Elephas maximus indicus: one gene and its partner. The protein of the gene in region 1 interacts with the protein of each later gene in a pairwise test. Links are inferred from orthologs where the notes say so. Each region holds a gene or a part of one and is shown on either strand. Other genes may lie near its edges.

Region 1 (8,337 bases):
TTTTTAAAATATTCTGCAAATAATGAGTTGGGGAGTGAGAGCAGCAATTTAATACCACATATCAAATAGGTTTGGAAATATGCATGTACCATGTGCTACCACCCATAATTGACAATTAGCATTTATCACATTTGCTTCAAGATTTTAATTTTTAAATAAAAGAAATACTTTTACAAATACAGTTAACATCCCCCTTTTGAGCCCTGCCCATCCCCCATGTTAATACTCTCTAAGACCACAGCTTCTGCAGTGTTTTGCTGATGCACTAAGGAACAGGCCAGGACCTGTCTGATAAGAACGTGGTAAACTTCACAGAGAGAATCCCTGGAGTGAAAAAGTTATAATGAGTACACGCAAAGAGTAACCAATCGGTAGTTTTCCAAATTGAATTTCCTCCTACACTGCTTTAGGTCTTGTGAAGAAACTATTAAAACAGCTTTTTAGAAATATTTAAAAAATCCTCACTCCTGGATAAGCCTATTTGCCTATGGCTTCACCAAAATCACTGGCCTAGATAACTGTTAGGTTAGTTACAAAGCGATAATTTGTGGCATTGTCTCACCTACTACCATGCTGAGGCTTCACTATGTGGTTAAATTAGAAATTGAGTCAGCAGAATAGAAGAGCTAACTCATGAATTTGTTTGCTGGGTAGGACATAAAGGGGAAGACTAGAAATTAATGTAGATAATTTCTGTCTTTGAATGTTTGAGGAATCAATTTAAAAAGGAAAAACAAATTGTAGCAGAAAGTAGCACACCTCTAACTCAGGTGCCTGCACTTTTACCCTTTTCTAACCAATTTTCCACAAAACAGTGATTTAAAACCCAGGTAGCATCCATTCACTCCCCAATATATAATCCTCTAGTAGCTTCCATTTGCTCCTGAACACCTCACAAACGTGGCCTCTATGGGTGCTGCCTGATCAGGCCCTTCAACAAGACACTTCTTTAATTTTCTGGATACAAGTTCTTTGTCAGATACATGTTTTGTGAATATTTTCTCCCAGTCTGTGGTTTGCCTTTTCATTTTCTTAATGGTATATTGTGATAAGCAGAAGCCTTTAATTTTGATGATGCTCAATTTAATAACTTTTCTTACATTGTCCATGCTTTTGGTGTCCTAAGAAATCTTGACCTACTCCAAGGTTGTGAAGATATTCCTTTGTTTTTTTCTAAAAGCTTTACAGTTTTTGCTATTACATTTAGATCTATGACCCATCTCAATTTTTTAAAATAGTGTGAGATAGAGATCGAGGTCCATTTTTTTCCATACGTTTATCTAGCTGTTCCACAGCCATTAGCTGAAAAGACTTTCCCTTCCTCATTGAATTACACTGGTGCCTTTTATCAAATACCAATTGACCATATGTGTGGGGGTCCATTTCTGGACTTGATGTTCTACTGATTTGTCTATCCTTATGCCCATATGGAGCCCTGGAGGTGCAGTGGTTAAGAGATCGGCTGCTAACCAAAAAGTTAACAGTTCGAACACACCAGCTCCTTCTTGGCAAACCCTACTTTGTCTTGTAAGTTCATTATGAGACTTGATGGAAATGGGTTTGGTATGCCAATAAACCATCTTGGATATTACAGCTTTGTATTAAATCTTATAATCAGGTAGTGAGACTTGCAATTTTTAAAAAGATCATTTTCGCTATTCTAGGTCCTTTGCATTTCTGCATTAGTGTTTAGAATCAACTTGTCAACTCCCCCCTCCCCCCACAAAAAAACTGTAGGGATTTTGTTGGGGACTGCATTGAATATGCAGATAGATCAATTTAGAAAACTGATATTTTCTCAATATTGAGTCTTCTAATTTCTGAACATGGTATAGCTCTGCATTTACTTAAAGCTTTATTTCTCTCAGCAATGTTTTAGTTTGTGTAGAGTTTTCATGTCTTTCAAAAAAGTTATAACTTTCATTTTTTGATGCTATGTAAATGGAATATCTAATTTTTTTTTTTTTTTTTTTTACTTTCCAGTTGTTGGCCGCTAGTATAGAAATCAAATTGATTTTTATATCTTGTGACCTTTCTAAATACACTTATTGGTTCCTGGTTCTAGTAGTTGTTTTTAGGTCCTATAGGATTTTCTATGTAAACAATACCTAAAGTTTGATGTTTTAAACAGAACGGACTGTAAATCCTTACTAAGATCTATTCTGTGGGCAAAAAAACTGCAAAGAAATCTTACACTTTATTCAGTTTTATTGTATTAGTAGCCATGTATTAATTTTGAAATTATTATATTGTAGGGTAAAACAAACAAGTTGACATTAATGTTATTAGGAACCAAGAGACACAAATACAGAATAAGAAAAGAAAAATCCTTCATGTTATATTTGTTATATTTAAACATATTTGTTATATTTGAATTGAAGGTATCTACTTGAATTTATGACTTAAAAAATATATATCTATTTCCTAGATCTGTCCACTGAGAGGGCCTAGAAGTAAGGACACCTGGTAGAAATAAGAATACATCCACAACTTGGTTTCTAACTCCTATTTCCCTCTAAAAGGAACCACAGGCCCTTGGAGAAATGGCTGATTCCCAGTCTGGGGCGGGGAAGGTATGAGGTGAGTCCGGACATCTTATTTTACCAGCGAGCAAGAAAGCTCTCAAAAAGACTCCTGTGTCCTTTGACATAGAAGTGTGCTTGAAAGGGCTCTCACTGGCCAAATTAGGGACAATTTGGAAGTCAAAAAGAACAATGACTGTAATGTATTTTAAACCATTTAATAAATAAAAATCCATTTGTCCATAGTGTTAAACAATAAAAACAAATGAAAATACTCGTTTCAGCATACAGTGATTATTACACTAATTCCAGACTCTAAAAATTGACAATTACAGGAAATACTCAAGTATTTACTCTGCTTCACCCCGCCCCCACCCGGCCAAAAGCATGTGGAACTCATTCCCAGTTGATTCTGTAAATAAAAAAATTTCTTATTTACAGAATGCCAGCTAATAAATGTAGAAAGATGCAATTAGAAAATCACTATTTTCAATGCTCAGTGAAAACTATTTAAGCAAGAATAATACATGAATGCTGAAAGTATTAAGTGAAAGGTTATTGGGGAACAGGATCAACTTTAGCATCAGTAATAACAGGACTCCAGGCACACTAAATGCTCCTACATAATGTAACCTGAAGTACACAGCCTCACGTATGAAGAATTTTTCTCCAGAAATGTTTAATCTGAATCTAATCAAGTCTTTACGTCTGGTCTCTCAAAAAGCCAATGTCATTTTAAAAAATTAAAAAAGGCTTAAGAAACTAATAAAAGATAACCAAATGCAATGTATAAACATTGATTAAATCCTGGCTTAAAAATAAACAAAATTATGAAGGAAATACTTGGGCAGTTGGGGATATGTAAATATGGACTAGATTATTACATAATACTAGGAAATTATGGGTAAATCTCTTAGAGGCTGACTAAGCCTTTTCTTGGCAAATCTCTTCCCTATTTCTCTGATAATGGCACCACCATTTTCTGCCAGTCAGGCTTAAAGAATCCTATGACACCCATCTCAGTCTTCTCTTCATTTCCACCACACCTCTGTCAGTACAGGTTTTCATCACTTCCTTTTTAACAGCTTTATTGAGATACCTCACATATCATACAATTCACCATTTAGTTACCCAACCATCACTACAATCAATTTTAGAACACTTTTACCACCCCTAAAAGAACCCCTGTACTCGTTAGCAGTCACTCCTTTTTAAGGATTGAATTGTTTCCCCCTGAAATGTGTCAACTTGGTTACACCATGGTTCTCAATAGTGTGTGGCAGTCCTCCATTTTTTGATTCGATGTAATCATTCTATGTGTTGTAAATTCTAACCTCTATGATGTTAATGAGGCAGGATTAGAGGCATTTATTTTTTTTTATGTTAATAAGGCAGGACAATCTACAGGACTATCTCTTTTGAGATATAATAGAGGACAGGAACCTCCTTACCACCAAACAAGAAGATGCAGAAGCTGAGTGAGTCCTCTGGACCCAGGGTCCCTGTGCTAAGAAGCTCCTAGACCAGAGAAAGATTGATGACAGAGACCTTCCCCCCAGAACCTAGACAGAGAGAGAGAGAGATAGAAAGCCTTCCCCTATAGCTGACGCCCTGAATTCGGATTTCCACCCTCCTAGAAGAATAAATTTGAGAGAATAAATTTGTTTGTTAAAGCCATTCACTTGTGGTATTTCTGTTACAGCCATACTAGATAACTAAGGCACTCCTCATCAGGTTTTTATCACTTCTGATCTGGCTTCTTACAACAGCCTAACTCCGCATCTTCAACTCTCTTTGTTCCAATTCGACTCATCTACACCACAGACGATGTGACTGCCCTAAAACATGGTTTAGCTATTATACCCTCTTCCCTAGATACCTTCAGTGACTCCCCCAAAGGACGCTTCGATTGAAGTAAACAAATACCCATTACCCAGTGAACCCCAGTGCCGTCGAGTCGATTCCGACTCATAGCGACCCTATAGGACAGAGTAGAACTGCCCCATAGTTTCCAAGGAGCGCCTGGTGGGGTTGAACTGCCGACCCTTTGATTAGTAGCCACACAATGTATTCAGGCACTGTGCTAGGTGCTAGGAACAAATGGCTCCAAGGCAGCCTTGACTTCTCTATTCTCCTACACTCTATTAAAAATGGATTAGTACTGAAGGCTTCTGTTATCGCCATAGCGTCTCCGCTCAGGAAGTTGCCTCTGCCTAGAAGGTTCCCTCTATCCTACCCCCTCATCATGCCCTCGGAAATCTTCCCCAACGTTCAAGGTCTATCTTCCCTAAGGAGTGGGTCCAAATCCCGCAGCACTTGAGAAGCTCTTAACACTTATCTAATTGGCTCGCTTGCACATACTCGAAGCTCAACACACATCTGCAGAACTGAACATATCCTTTGGACGCAGCGAAGCTCCACTGCGCGCCATCTCCAGCCTCTCTCCCAACATCGCGATTGGCTCTCCAACGTTTTCCCCTCTCTCTCTCCTAGCCCTCTATGACCGGAAATGACTTGAGGCGAGGGCGCCTCCGAAATCCCATGGATCATAGATTTGAGCGACTCCCGGGAAGAGCGAGCTAGAAAGGGTCTGCTCTTCCGGGTCAGGTCTGCGCGAAGAAACTCCAGATCTCAGTTGTCCCAGCTTCCGTTTGGGAGAACAGAACCGCCCCCTTCCCGCGCTCCTCGGCGTCCCGGGCCCGCCCTGACGCTGGCGGTGACGGATGGCGGCGGCGGTAGATTAGGGCCGTGGGTCAAAGCAGGCACAGCCGCTGGGGGACCCTGTCGGAAGCAACTGCCGCTGTCGCCGCCACTTTCATCTCTTCTGGGGCAGGGGCCAGGGCCAGGTGAGGGGAGTGGGGTTCTGGGCACGCAGAGCTGGGCTAGGAGGCGGTTTCACCTCCGTAGGACGGTGTCCAGAGACTGTGCCGACCCCACCGGCTCCCCAGTGGTCCCAGCGAAGCGTGAGTGAGTAAAAGAGTGTGTGTGTGTGCCGACGCCCCTTCGCCTGAGAGCTCGCGAAGCCACGGGGTCCGTTTCATTATAACCGGACTTATCCAGCGTGGTCTCGCCGTGAAAGCGTGTTGAGCAGAGCGTCTCCCTGAGTGGGCTGCCTGAGGCGCAGGAACTTGGCCCATTCTCCGCACCGCTGTTATTCTCCACGGCTGTCTTCACGTGGAAAACCGGTTCCATTTTTAGGACCAGACTGGGGAAAGTGGACTTCTCTTGGTCTCAAAAAAGGTTTTTATGCGACTCACTTGGAATGATTATAGATCCGCTCTGTCAGTCGCTCATTGTCACAGATAGTTAGAAATCTTGGACTTCTTATTCTAAATTCACTGTTGTTCTGACGCCCATTATTTTTTTCATAAAAACCTGCATTCTTACCCTCAGAGGCAATACCGTTCACACTGAGTCCTTCTTTGCTCGCAACATTCCAAGGAGAGGATAAGGAGATCCCAAGTTTCTTTCCTTCATAACCGAACATGAGGGAGAATTTGGAATTTTTGAGTTGAAGCTGATTTCTTTGACTTAGCGTAATGTTTTTGAAAATCGGACGGATCTGACTAGTTGTTCACATGCTCTTGACTGGTATTAGCTCTGTTTAGCTCTTAACCGCTCCCTGCACAAGTTGTTTATCCGTAATCACTATTTCTGTCTCTACGTAGAAGTTTTGAACTGAGCTGACAGTTTGTCCCCTCCCTCTTTTTTTGGCTTTATGGTTTAAAGCAAAACAAACAAAAAGCCTTTTTTACGAAATTGTCTGTAGAATTTTTCCCCGGAGGCTTGGTATAAACCAGAATGTTGACCTCTGCCCTGACTTGTTGTGTGACCTTGGATGAGATGCCACACCCTTCTGATGCCTTTTTTTAAAAAAAACCCAGAAAATTAAGTATTGTGTGAACTGCTTAGACTTCACGTACACAGTTGGACATTTGTACCTGCACATTTGATCCTGCAGACTGAAAATACTTAAGCCATTATGAAGTACTCTTCATTTGATAATAGGCAGTTAAGCGTTTTGTAAATCCTCTTTAATCTGAATGGCCCGGTACCATTCTAAATTTTTTTTTTAAATGACTTATTTTCTTATGGAGGAATGTGACATAGAAGTTGAATTCAACTTAAGATGGGTCGTTTTGAGTCGGAATCAACTTGACCGCAACAGGTTTTTTTTGTTTAAGGTTGAATCCAGCCAGCTTTGTAAAGAAAAGTGTGCTTAGTAGCTCATCAGTTAATAAATCAGATAATATATTTATTCAGTAATAATCATTGTTTTAAAAATATTTTTCTTAAATATTTTAGACAATTTTTAAATAATCACTTAGTACCCACCCTGCTGCTTATTGCTTTTTCATACATGATTTTGATCCATATCTTAATCCAAATAAACGGTCATCAAGAGTTCTTGCTTAATGTATATTACAGAGTTGAAGGGGAGCCATTTCCAGAGTAGCTGATTTTTTTTAACAGCTTCATTGAGACATAATGAGTATTCCATACAATCTACGAATTGTACAATTCAGTGATTTTTTACTACATTCACAGAGTTGTACAAGCATTTTCATTACTCCAAAAAGAAACACCATAGCCATTGGTAGTCGTTCCCCATGCCTGGCCCTCACCCATTCCCTCCCCATCCCAGGCAACCACTAATCTATTTTTTGTCTGTGTATAGACTTGCCTGTTCTGGAAATTTCACATAAATGGAATACACAACATTTGGTCTTTTGTAGGTGATTTCTTTGACTTAGCATAGTATTTTCAGGATTCATCCATTTTGTAGCATGTATCGTGATTTCTTTCCATTTTATGGCCAAATAATATTCCGTTGTATGAATATACTACATTTTATTCATTAGTCGGTTTAGGTTAGTTGTACTTTTTGGCTCTTATGAATAATGAATATGTAATGCTGTTACGAACATTTGTGTATAAATTCTTGTGTTTCGTTTTCTCTTGGGTATATACCTGGAAGTGAAAGAGTAATCAAATTTTATGTCTATTTTGGATTTGTGTCTTTAACGACTGTTATGTTTATGTAGAATTCTGTGTCCTCAAGCTATATACATATAAATGGGAAGCTTAATTAACCTGTTGTGGGAGTCAGATTTTTTGTGTGTGTTTGTGGGAAGACTTGAGAATGAGGCCTTCCTCTCTACATATAACCACCAACTGCCGTGGATTAGATTCCGAATATATGTAGCAACTCTACGTATATTACCTAGAAATGCCAACTGCTGAGTGAAAATATTTTGGGGACAGCTCTTAACACGAGATTGAACTAGAGTGTTTCCATTAGGCATGTATGTTCAATTGGAAGAAGAGAGCCTACATAACAACTTACTGTCTGCTGAGTTTTAAAAAAATGACACCTTGCTTGTCTTGCGTTTTGCAGGTGGGTGGGATGAATTTGCAGCTTCACAATCTTTATTAAAAAACCCAGTGCCATCGAGTTGGCTCTGACTCATAGCGACCCTATAGGACAGAGTAGAACTGCCCCATAGAGTTTCCAAGGAGCGCCTGGTGGAGTCGAACTGCTGACTCTTTGGTTGGCAGCCGTAGCGCTTAACCATACGCCACCAGGGTTTCCGCAATCTTTTTTAGGATTATTCTGCTTCTTCTGAAGAAAGTCTTAGGATTCTATGTTGTTGTTCTGTGCCTTCAAGTCGACAGGACTGTATAAAAAAAAAAAATAAGTAAAACATGGCTTAGAAAATGCAGTTATTGGATTTCATGTTAATTTGCAGAATTAAAAAAAAAAACAAAAAACTTACCTGCTCAAACTATCAGCCTTGAGTCTAGAGATCTGGTA
Region 2 (7,365 bases), on another chromosome or scaffold:
GAAGTCTCCTCACTGCTCTAAGAGTTCATAAGTGCACTTCACAGAATGTAGAACTCTCCTCTCCGCTTAAGAGTCCCCAAATGCACATCATGGAATGTAGAAGTCCTCTCTCTGTCATAAGAGTCCCTAAATACACCTCATGGCATGTAGAAGCCTCCTCTTTGTTATAAGAGTTCTTAAGTGCACTTCATGGAATGCCGAAGTCTCCTCTCTGCTGTAAAAGTCCTCAAACGCACATCATGGACTGTAGAAGCCGAGTGCCATGGGGCCTTGGAGTGTAGTTGTGACGCCTCATGTCTACAGATGCAGAACCTGAGGCCCAGATAGGAGAAACAGCTTGACAAGGGCAGACAGCCAAGGTAGAGCCCACAAAACCAGAGTGCTCTGTTCCTACCCCCTTGCCACCCACCCCCTCCTGGAAGGCCTCTTCATGTTTGAGTCTCCTCGCCTCCCCAACCCTCTCCTCCCCTAATGTGATATGTGACCAGTCTCCTGTGGGCATCAGCTCTTTAAATTCTCCCCTGTAAAATGGGAATCATGAACCTCCCACATCATAGGGCTGTGGGGAGAATTCTGTAACATGTTCCATAAGCCCTGGATGCTGGGCCTGGGTCACAGTCAGCACTTAATAAACACTTGGTGCCATTAATTGTGACCACATCCCTCCCAAAATAATGAGATATTGCCATTTCAATACCCACTTTACTTAGTGAAAAAATAGATTAGAGCCAGGAGAGGAGGCAGAGGGATGGAGAGGCAAGCTGTGGGTCTGGTGAGGGGTCTGGAACCTGAACATGGAACTGAAGGGAGATTTCTGGAACTCTATGGTAGAAAGGGAATTTCACAAACAGTACCCAATGTTCTGAGCCCGCTGTGCCCACAGGCAGGAGTCCAGAAGTACGCTCCATGGGACTCCTCTTGGGATAGGAGGTCCAAGAAGCCCAAGTATCCTGGCAGCAGGGGAGGGGAATGGACAGGGCAAGGTCAGTTCCTTTTGTGCCTGGGGCCACTGATGGCTGACAGAGTGATGAGAGCCTGGGCAGCGTAGTAGGTGGTCATGACCACCAAGTGGGCGCGGGGCAGGGGCTGGGCAAAGGCATCCCAGGCCAGCACAGCATCCGAGATTGTGAAGAGCAGAGCTCCCAGGCCGGCACTGCCTCCCCAGACCAGGCCACGCCACAGCACTGCAGCCAGCAGGAGGGCGTAGGCTGCCACAGGTAGGGCCTTGTCCGGGGGCAGGTGTGGCAGCAGGAGGCCGTAGTATGGAATACAGGCCAGGGCAACGGGCAGTAGGGTGGCCGGCTGCAGTGGGGAGAAGCCGAAGGTCGCGAGGTAGAGGAGGTGGGCTGTGGCAAAGGCAACCATGCCTGTAAGAGGGGTTGGGCGCCCAGTGAGGGTGGTGGTCCGTAAGTCCTCCTGATTCTCCCCACTTTTCCTCTTCCCCTGGGCCACCACCACCACACAAACCTGAAGGGAGGGCCCTGCTCCCGCCCAATCCCTGCCACTATCATCTCGTGCTGGGATTACAGTGTTGCCCAACTGCCCTTGCCTCCCAGTCAGTTTTCAACACAGCAGTCAGAAAAAACAAAATAAATAAAAACTGTTGTCATCAATTCTGACTCATGGCAACCCTATTGTGTGTCAGAGTAGAACTGCTCCACAGGGCTTCCTTGGCTGTAACCTTTACAGAAGCAGATTGTCAGAACTTTTTTCCACAGAGCTACTGGGTGAGTTTGAACCACCAACCGGTCAGTGGTACAAACCAGTTGTACCACCCAGGAACCTCCGGCAGTTGGGGATATCTTAAAATGCACACCAAATCATGCTCCCCTGCTCTAAACCCTCCACCCACCCCCATGACACCCCAAGAGAGCACCCAGTTATCTTTACTGACTGTGGCCTACAAGGTCCACACCTTCTGCCCCAGCCACCTCTTTAGACAGTCACCAGGACCGCACCTACCTCAGGGACTTTGCACGTGTTAGTCTCTCTGCCTGGAAGGCCCCACCCCCAGATACGCCTGTGGTTAGCTCCATCCGTTCCTTCAGGACTTTGCCCAGATGCTACCTTCTCATGGAAGCCATTCCCGATTACTATATTTAACACTGCATACCAACCCTGCCCCTGGTCAATCTTAATTCTCCATGCCCCTTGTTGTTGTATGAAGTTGAGTCGTTTCTGAGTCATAGTGACCCGTGTGACAGAGAACTGCCCCATAGGGTTTCCTAGGCTGTCATCTTTATGGGAACAGATCACCAGATCTTTTTCCAGTGGAGCCACTGGGTGGGTTTGAACCACTGACCTTTCAGCTAGCAGCTGAGGGCTCAAGTGTTGTGCCACCAGGGCTCCTTCCGTGGCACTTACCGCCTCCTAACATCATACTCTGGTCCCCCACACTGGGATGCCAGCTCCATGAGGGCAGGTAGTTTTGTCTGTCCTGGCAGTTGCTGCCTTTGAAACCCGCTCACCACCTGGCTAGTGGTACGTGCTCCACCAAAAAGTCTCCCCTGAGCCCCAGTGCTGCTCAACTCCTCTGTAGAGCATCTTAAATTAGGTCCCCGAGAGGTGTCATGATGCGGCCCGCTCACCGTACAGGAAGGCGTCAGGCCAGATGAGGCAGATGTCTCCCACAGCCGAGCACAGCAAGGCTCCCTGCACGAGCGCAGTGTAGCTCCTGCTGGGGGACAAGGCCCGCAGGCACACAGCCAGGCAGAGCACGGGCAGACATTTGACCAGGGCATGAAGCGGGGATGGTGGGTCCTCAGGGTTCCAGAGGAGGAAGTAGATAGTGCAGGTGAGGAAGAAGGGGCTGAGCCACCTGGCGATGTGTACGTTCTTGGGGAGAACAGGGGGAGGGCTGCTGAGCTCCAGAACCACGCTCCAGACCACCCTTGCCTCTCAGGGTCCTCAGTCCACCTAACAGCCAGGACCTACCACCCCAGCGCCCTTGGGCCCTGGATCCAGCTGGGACAGTATCCAGGTGTGGGGGCTCCCGCCCACGCCCTGCTGTCACCAGGCCTCCAGCCTGCCCAGGACTAGGACCCTGGTCCCTTAGGAGGGCAGGACACCAGCCAATTCCTTAATCAAGGGTCCCTCAGCCTCTAGCCTGGTCCTTAGGACCCCGCCCCATTGCCCCACTTCCCCCTCCCCACCAAGGGCTCTCACGTGGACTGCAAGGCCAGGCTCCCGGGGTGGCCCCCTTCCTCTGGTGTCCATGCTGGTTTCTCACACCCCCGTCACCTCTGCCTGAGCACTGGTGGCTTTGGTGGGGGGGGGGTGAAGGGGAGGGTGCATAGTTACACGTTAACCTGGACGAGCGTCCTGTGGACTCTGGGGCTGATAAGAGGGCCCAGAGAGATGCCACCCCCAGCCCTGACACAGCCCAGCCTGGCACTGGCTGATAACATGCCCAGTGGGATCCAGTAATCCCTCCCTCCCGAACCTGCAACTCCTCCCCTGCCTGGTCTCCTCCTCTCTGTCAGGGGGCCATGAGGTGGAACCCGCTACTATCTAGTTGCCAATCAATCAAAAGGGAATGGGGCAAGGTTCACAGGTCCCCCCACAGAGGCAGAGGGGGTGCAATTCATACCTCCCAGCCCACAGGCGGTCACACTGCCAGCAGGGAGGACAGTGCCTGACTTAGCAGACCCCTCTCCACTCGCTGCCCTGGGGGGTGAGTACAGACTCCCTCCAACACCATCTGCCGTCCTCAGCATCCCATCTTTCGTCCCCAAGCCCCTCTGAGCCCACGGCCCCAGACATCCCCCTACAAGTACTCAAGGCATGAAGACGGGGCACACATAGAGTGAGCTGCAGCTGTTCTCACTGGCCTCAGGGGCCTTGTCCTTGAGGCTCATGAGGACAACGCTGGTCACCAGGGCCAGTCTGCACATGGGTATGACCAACACTGAGGTTTCCACACTGACCCTGCAGCAACTTCTTTGTTTTCTAGTTTCAGGCTTTCAAAGGACACCAAGGTTGATCCCCACGTGCACACAGCTGCGCCTCAATGTGTAGCACAGGCAGTGAACAGGGCGAGCTCATGACCTCAAAGTCAGGCAGGTGGCCCCGTGTCACCGGGAGAACATGGGCTCAGAGGACAGCCACCGGCTGTTTAGTTGTGGGGCTGCGATGGACAGTCCAGGCGTCGACAAGCCCCACAATGCAGCAGGGGCTATTAGGGTCTGGAAGGAAACTGAGACCACCACCCCTGTGCTATGTAGGGCTTTATTCCTCAGTCGGTTGTCTCACTTGTGGGGGCTGTGCGTTCGTCAGCTGTATGGCCTTAAGCCTGCATCGTGTGATGGGGACATGTGGGACTGGAAGTCACCCAAGACCGGGTGCCAGGCCTCAGCTTGAACTTGAAGAGGTTGCTGGGCTCACTTCCTGCCCGGAGAAACCCCTTCCTGTTCTGGGCAGAAGTTGTCGCCCCTCCCCCAGGGGAGAACTGGGGACATGATTCCTTGGGAAAGGGAGCAGCGATCTTGCAGCCCCAGAAGAAACCACTGTGGCTATCTCATTCGGCCCCGCCCTGTGCCCCTCACTCAGCCTGCAGCACCAGCAGTTGTCAACGGTTTCCTTTATTGTATTTGCAATATGAAATAAAGCTCGCACAGACACGCACCACTCACGCAGCTCGCTTGGGGACAGGACGCTGGGACAAGGTCACTTGGCAGCTGGGGTTGGAGCCCCAGACACTTGGGATGAAGGGGGCCCCCAGCCAGACCCCTACCCGGAGCTGAAAGAGGCCAAAGGGGGAAAGAGTGGGGCATCGGCGGGGAGTCTAGGGCCCCAAGGGAATGTTACAGGGCGCCCCCATGTATGGGACCCCAGCCCTGTCCCCAGCAGAGCCCTTGGGTTTCCAGGCTGGGTGACAGTGCAGGGCTAGGGGAGGGGGCTTGGCAAAGGCACCGCCCACCCCAGCCCCCAGTTTCCCCTACCCTCCCAGCTTCCCCCCAGGAGGCCCTGAGCTGAGACCAGATGTGAGTGTGTGTGTTGGTGGTCTGCTTGAGGTGGGGAGCTACACTCTGCTTCAGACAAGTGAAAGGGACGCTGTCTGCGTGTGGTGAGGCCACACCCAACCGGCCTTGCCGGGAAGGGACAGGTAGGATGGGGTAAGGTTGTGCTTCAGAGCCAGATGTCCCCCAGGCGCCCACATGACCCAGGTGCCCTTCCTCTTCTCCACAATATATATATATAGTTTATAATATAGGTCTCTCTCTCTCCTCGTTCTCTAGTCGACTCTCTATATTTTTATTCTAGGAGGCAAAACTCCAACAATTTTCAGTGCAAATGGGGATGGGGTGGGCGGTCTCCCTCGGACACCAGCTCCTGGGAGCCCAGAGAAAGAATGTGGGTGAGGGTTGATGGGGTGGGGGCGGGGGAGTGGGGGCCCAGGACCCGGCCCTGCCCCCACCCCGGGCAGAGTCCATGGGAGTATGGGCGCTATGGCCACCGCTGCCACCGCCAGGACCAGGCTGTCACCTAGAACAGAGGGAGATACCAGGTGAGCCCTGGGACACCAGCTCACTGTCTGTCCGTGGGGTCCCAGCATAGCCAAACTCACTGGGAACCCAGGAACACCTCCCACCACCCACCTGTCCCTGTGGTCCCAGCACAGCTATACTCACTGGGAGCCTGGGAACGCCCACCCACCACCTGCCTGCCCCCATGGTCCCGGCACAGCCATACTCACTGGGAGTCTGGGAACGCCCACCGGCCAGCTACCCACCAACCCGCCCTCACGGTCCTGCCCCAGTCATACTCACTGGGAGACCGGGGCCATAGGCCCGCCTGGGGTGGAGCCACTGGGCATCTGAGGCGGCTGGAGGGGCTGGGCACTGTCAGAAAAGCGACACCAGGGGTCACCCTTATGCCCATGTGGTCCCTGCCCACCCTGCTGGCCGCACCACTGCTCACCTCTGGCTTTGAGGCAGCCCCAAGGGCGCTGGATTCTTCTCCCCCTCGGTGGTCTCGGGGGGCTGCTGGGCCCCGGTGGCTGGGACAGAGGTAGAGGGGTCTCTGGTTGCACTGAGGAAGGAGAGGGGAAGTCAGTGATGCTGAAGATCCCTCGCAGGTACCTGGCCATCCTGTGTCAGTCGGGGCGCCCATCTGGGGCATGGTCACGGGCATGGGGAGCCCTGGCACAGCATCAAACTAGCCCCTTGCCCCAGCCCACTCAGCCCTCAGCCCCTGTGGGAACCTGCATTCCAGGCCCAACGCAGGGCGATGCCCCATGGCACACCAATCCCTGTGGATGCTGACAGAGACCTCTCCCTGCTCTCCCGTCCCTTTTTTGAGGCCCCGCTCCTCCTGACTAGAGTCTCCCCTACCCTTCTGGAAGCCCCTGGCCCAATACCACCATCTGGCCACCCTGTCACTGACAGAGGTACAGCCCTATGAGGCGCAAGGAGAGGAATAGGGGTGGGGTGGAGGAACAAGCAGTCCCTGAGACACAGACAATGGGCCCGGGTGGTCTGAGCAGCTCTGGGTGGACAAGCCAGGCCCCACGTCAACCAGGGAGGACCTGGCACCACCCCCACCGCTGATGGCACCCAGCCTGTCACCTGTCTAAGGAGCTGGGGGTGCCACGCATCCCGCTGAGGGTAGCCTGGAGGTCCCCGACGCTGACCAAGGCCTGGCAGGGGGCTGCGGCAGGAGGAGAGGAAGAAGCAGTGAGGTACCTGCGAGGCGGAAGGTGCAAGGGGAAAGGCGCGGGAAAGGTGTCAGTGAGGTGGGGGATGGTGTGGGGGTGCTCCTCACCCACAGGCTCTGCAACACTGCTACCAGTGGAGGCTTCCTGAGGTGCTGAAGGGGCTGCAGGGTCCTCAGACCTGGAAGGAGCCAGGCAGTAGGAGGTGAGGCCGTGACATGGGCAGGGCACCGCACCCCACCCTCCACCCAGGCTCCTCACTGCATCCTCACCTAACCTGCAGGCCTTCGCTGGCTGGAAGGACAGCCAGGCTTGGGGCAGGTGGGCTCTGGGGACCATCACAAGGCCCCTGGGGGGCCATGGGCCTGGGCTCTTCACCCCCGGAGATGCAGGGGCCTGCGGAGGCTTCAGTAGGCACTGGGTCAAAGGTGGCCGTCCAGCCAGGGCCTGGAGGAGAAGGAAGTGTGAGCGCTGGAGAGGACTGGGGCCCGCCAGCCCCGCCCTCTTCACTCCACTCACCCTGGGGTGGTGGTGCCACAGGCTGGGGGCTGGGGCTCAGGTAGGAGGGGGCACTAGCCCCTCCCCTGACCGTGTGGCTGTCGGCATCTTCCTCGTCGTCGTCCTCCTCTTCCTCATCATCTTCCTCACTGTCTGTGCTGCCTCCACTCCTGCCCCAGAAACCCCCACAATTAGCTACCATGCTGGGCACTGAG

The links.
Region 2: the proteins of BCL2L13 (region 1) and TMEM86B interact in binary tests that used the Homo sapiens proteins (3 or more experiments, as listed by UniProt). The two-hybrid records come from large-scale screens. The link is inferred for Elephas maximus indicus from reciprocal best matches to the Homo sapiens genes BCL2L13 and TMEM86B.

Annotation. Positions count from the first base shown.
Region 1 is NC_064822.1:55,261,256-55,269,592, reverse strand, and holds the start of BCL2L13 (bcl-2-like protein 13), read left to right. Parts: upstream 1-5,172; 5' UTR 5,173-5,368; intron 5,369-5,375; exon of another isoform or gene 5,376-5,489; intron 5,490-8,337. UniProt on the Homo sapiens protein: May promote the activation of caspase-3 and apoptosis.
Region 2 is NC_064829.1:91,778,301-91,785,665, reverse strand, and holds TMEM86B (lysoplasmalogenase), read right to left. Parts: upstream 3,341-7,365; 5' UTR 3,217-3,340; coding exon 3,166-3,216; intron 2,836-3,165; coding exon 2,589-2,835; intron 1,368-2,588; coding exon 985-1,367; 3' UTR 695-984; downstream 1-694. Other genes in the region: PPP6R1 (serine/threonine-protein phosphatase 6 regulatory subunit 1), read right to left, coding at 5,481-5,484, 5,769-5,840, 5,920-6,030, 6,567-6,648, 6,763-6,833, 6,925-7,099, 7,172-7,320. UniProt on the Homo sapiens protein: Catalyzes the hydrolysis of the vinyl ether bond of choline or ethanolamine lysoplasmalogens, forming fatty aldehyde and glycerophosphocholine or glycerophosphoethanolamine, respectively and is specific for the sn-2-deacylated (lyso) form of plasmalogen.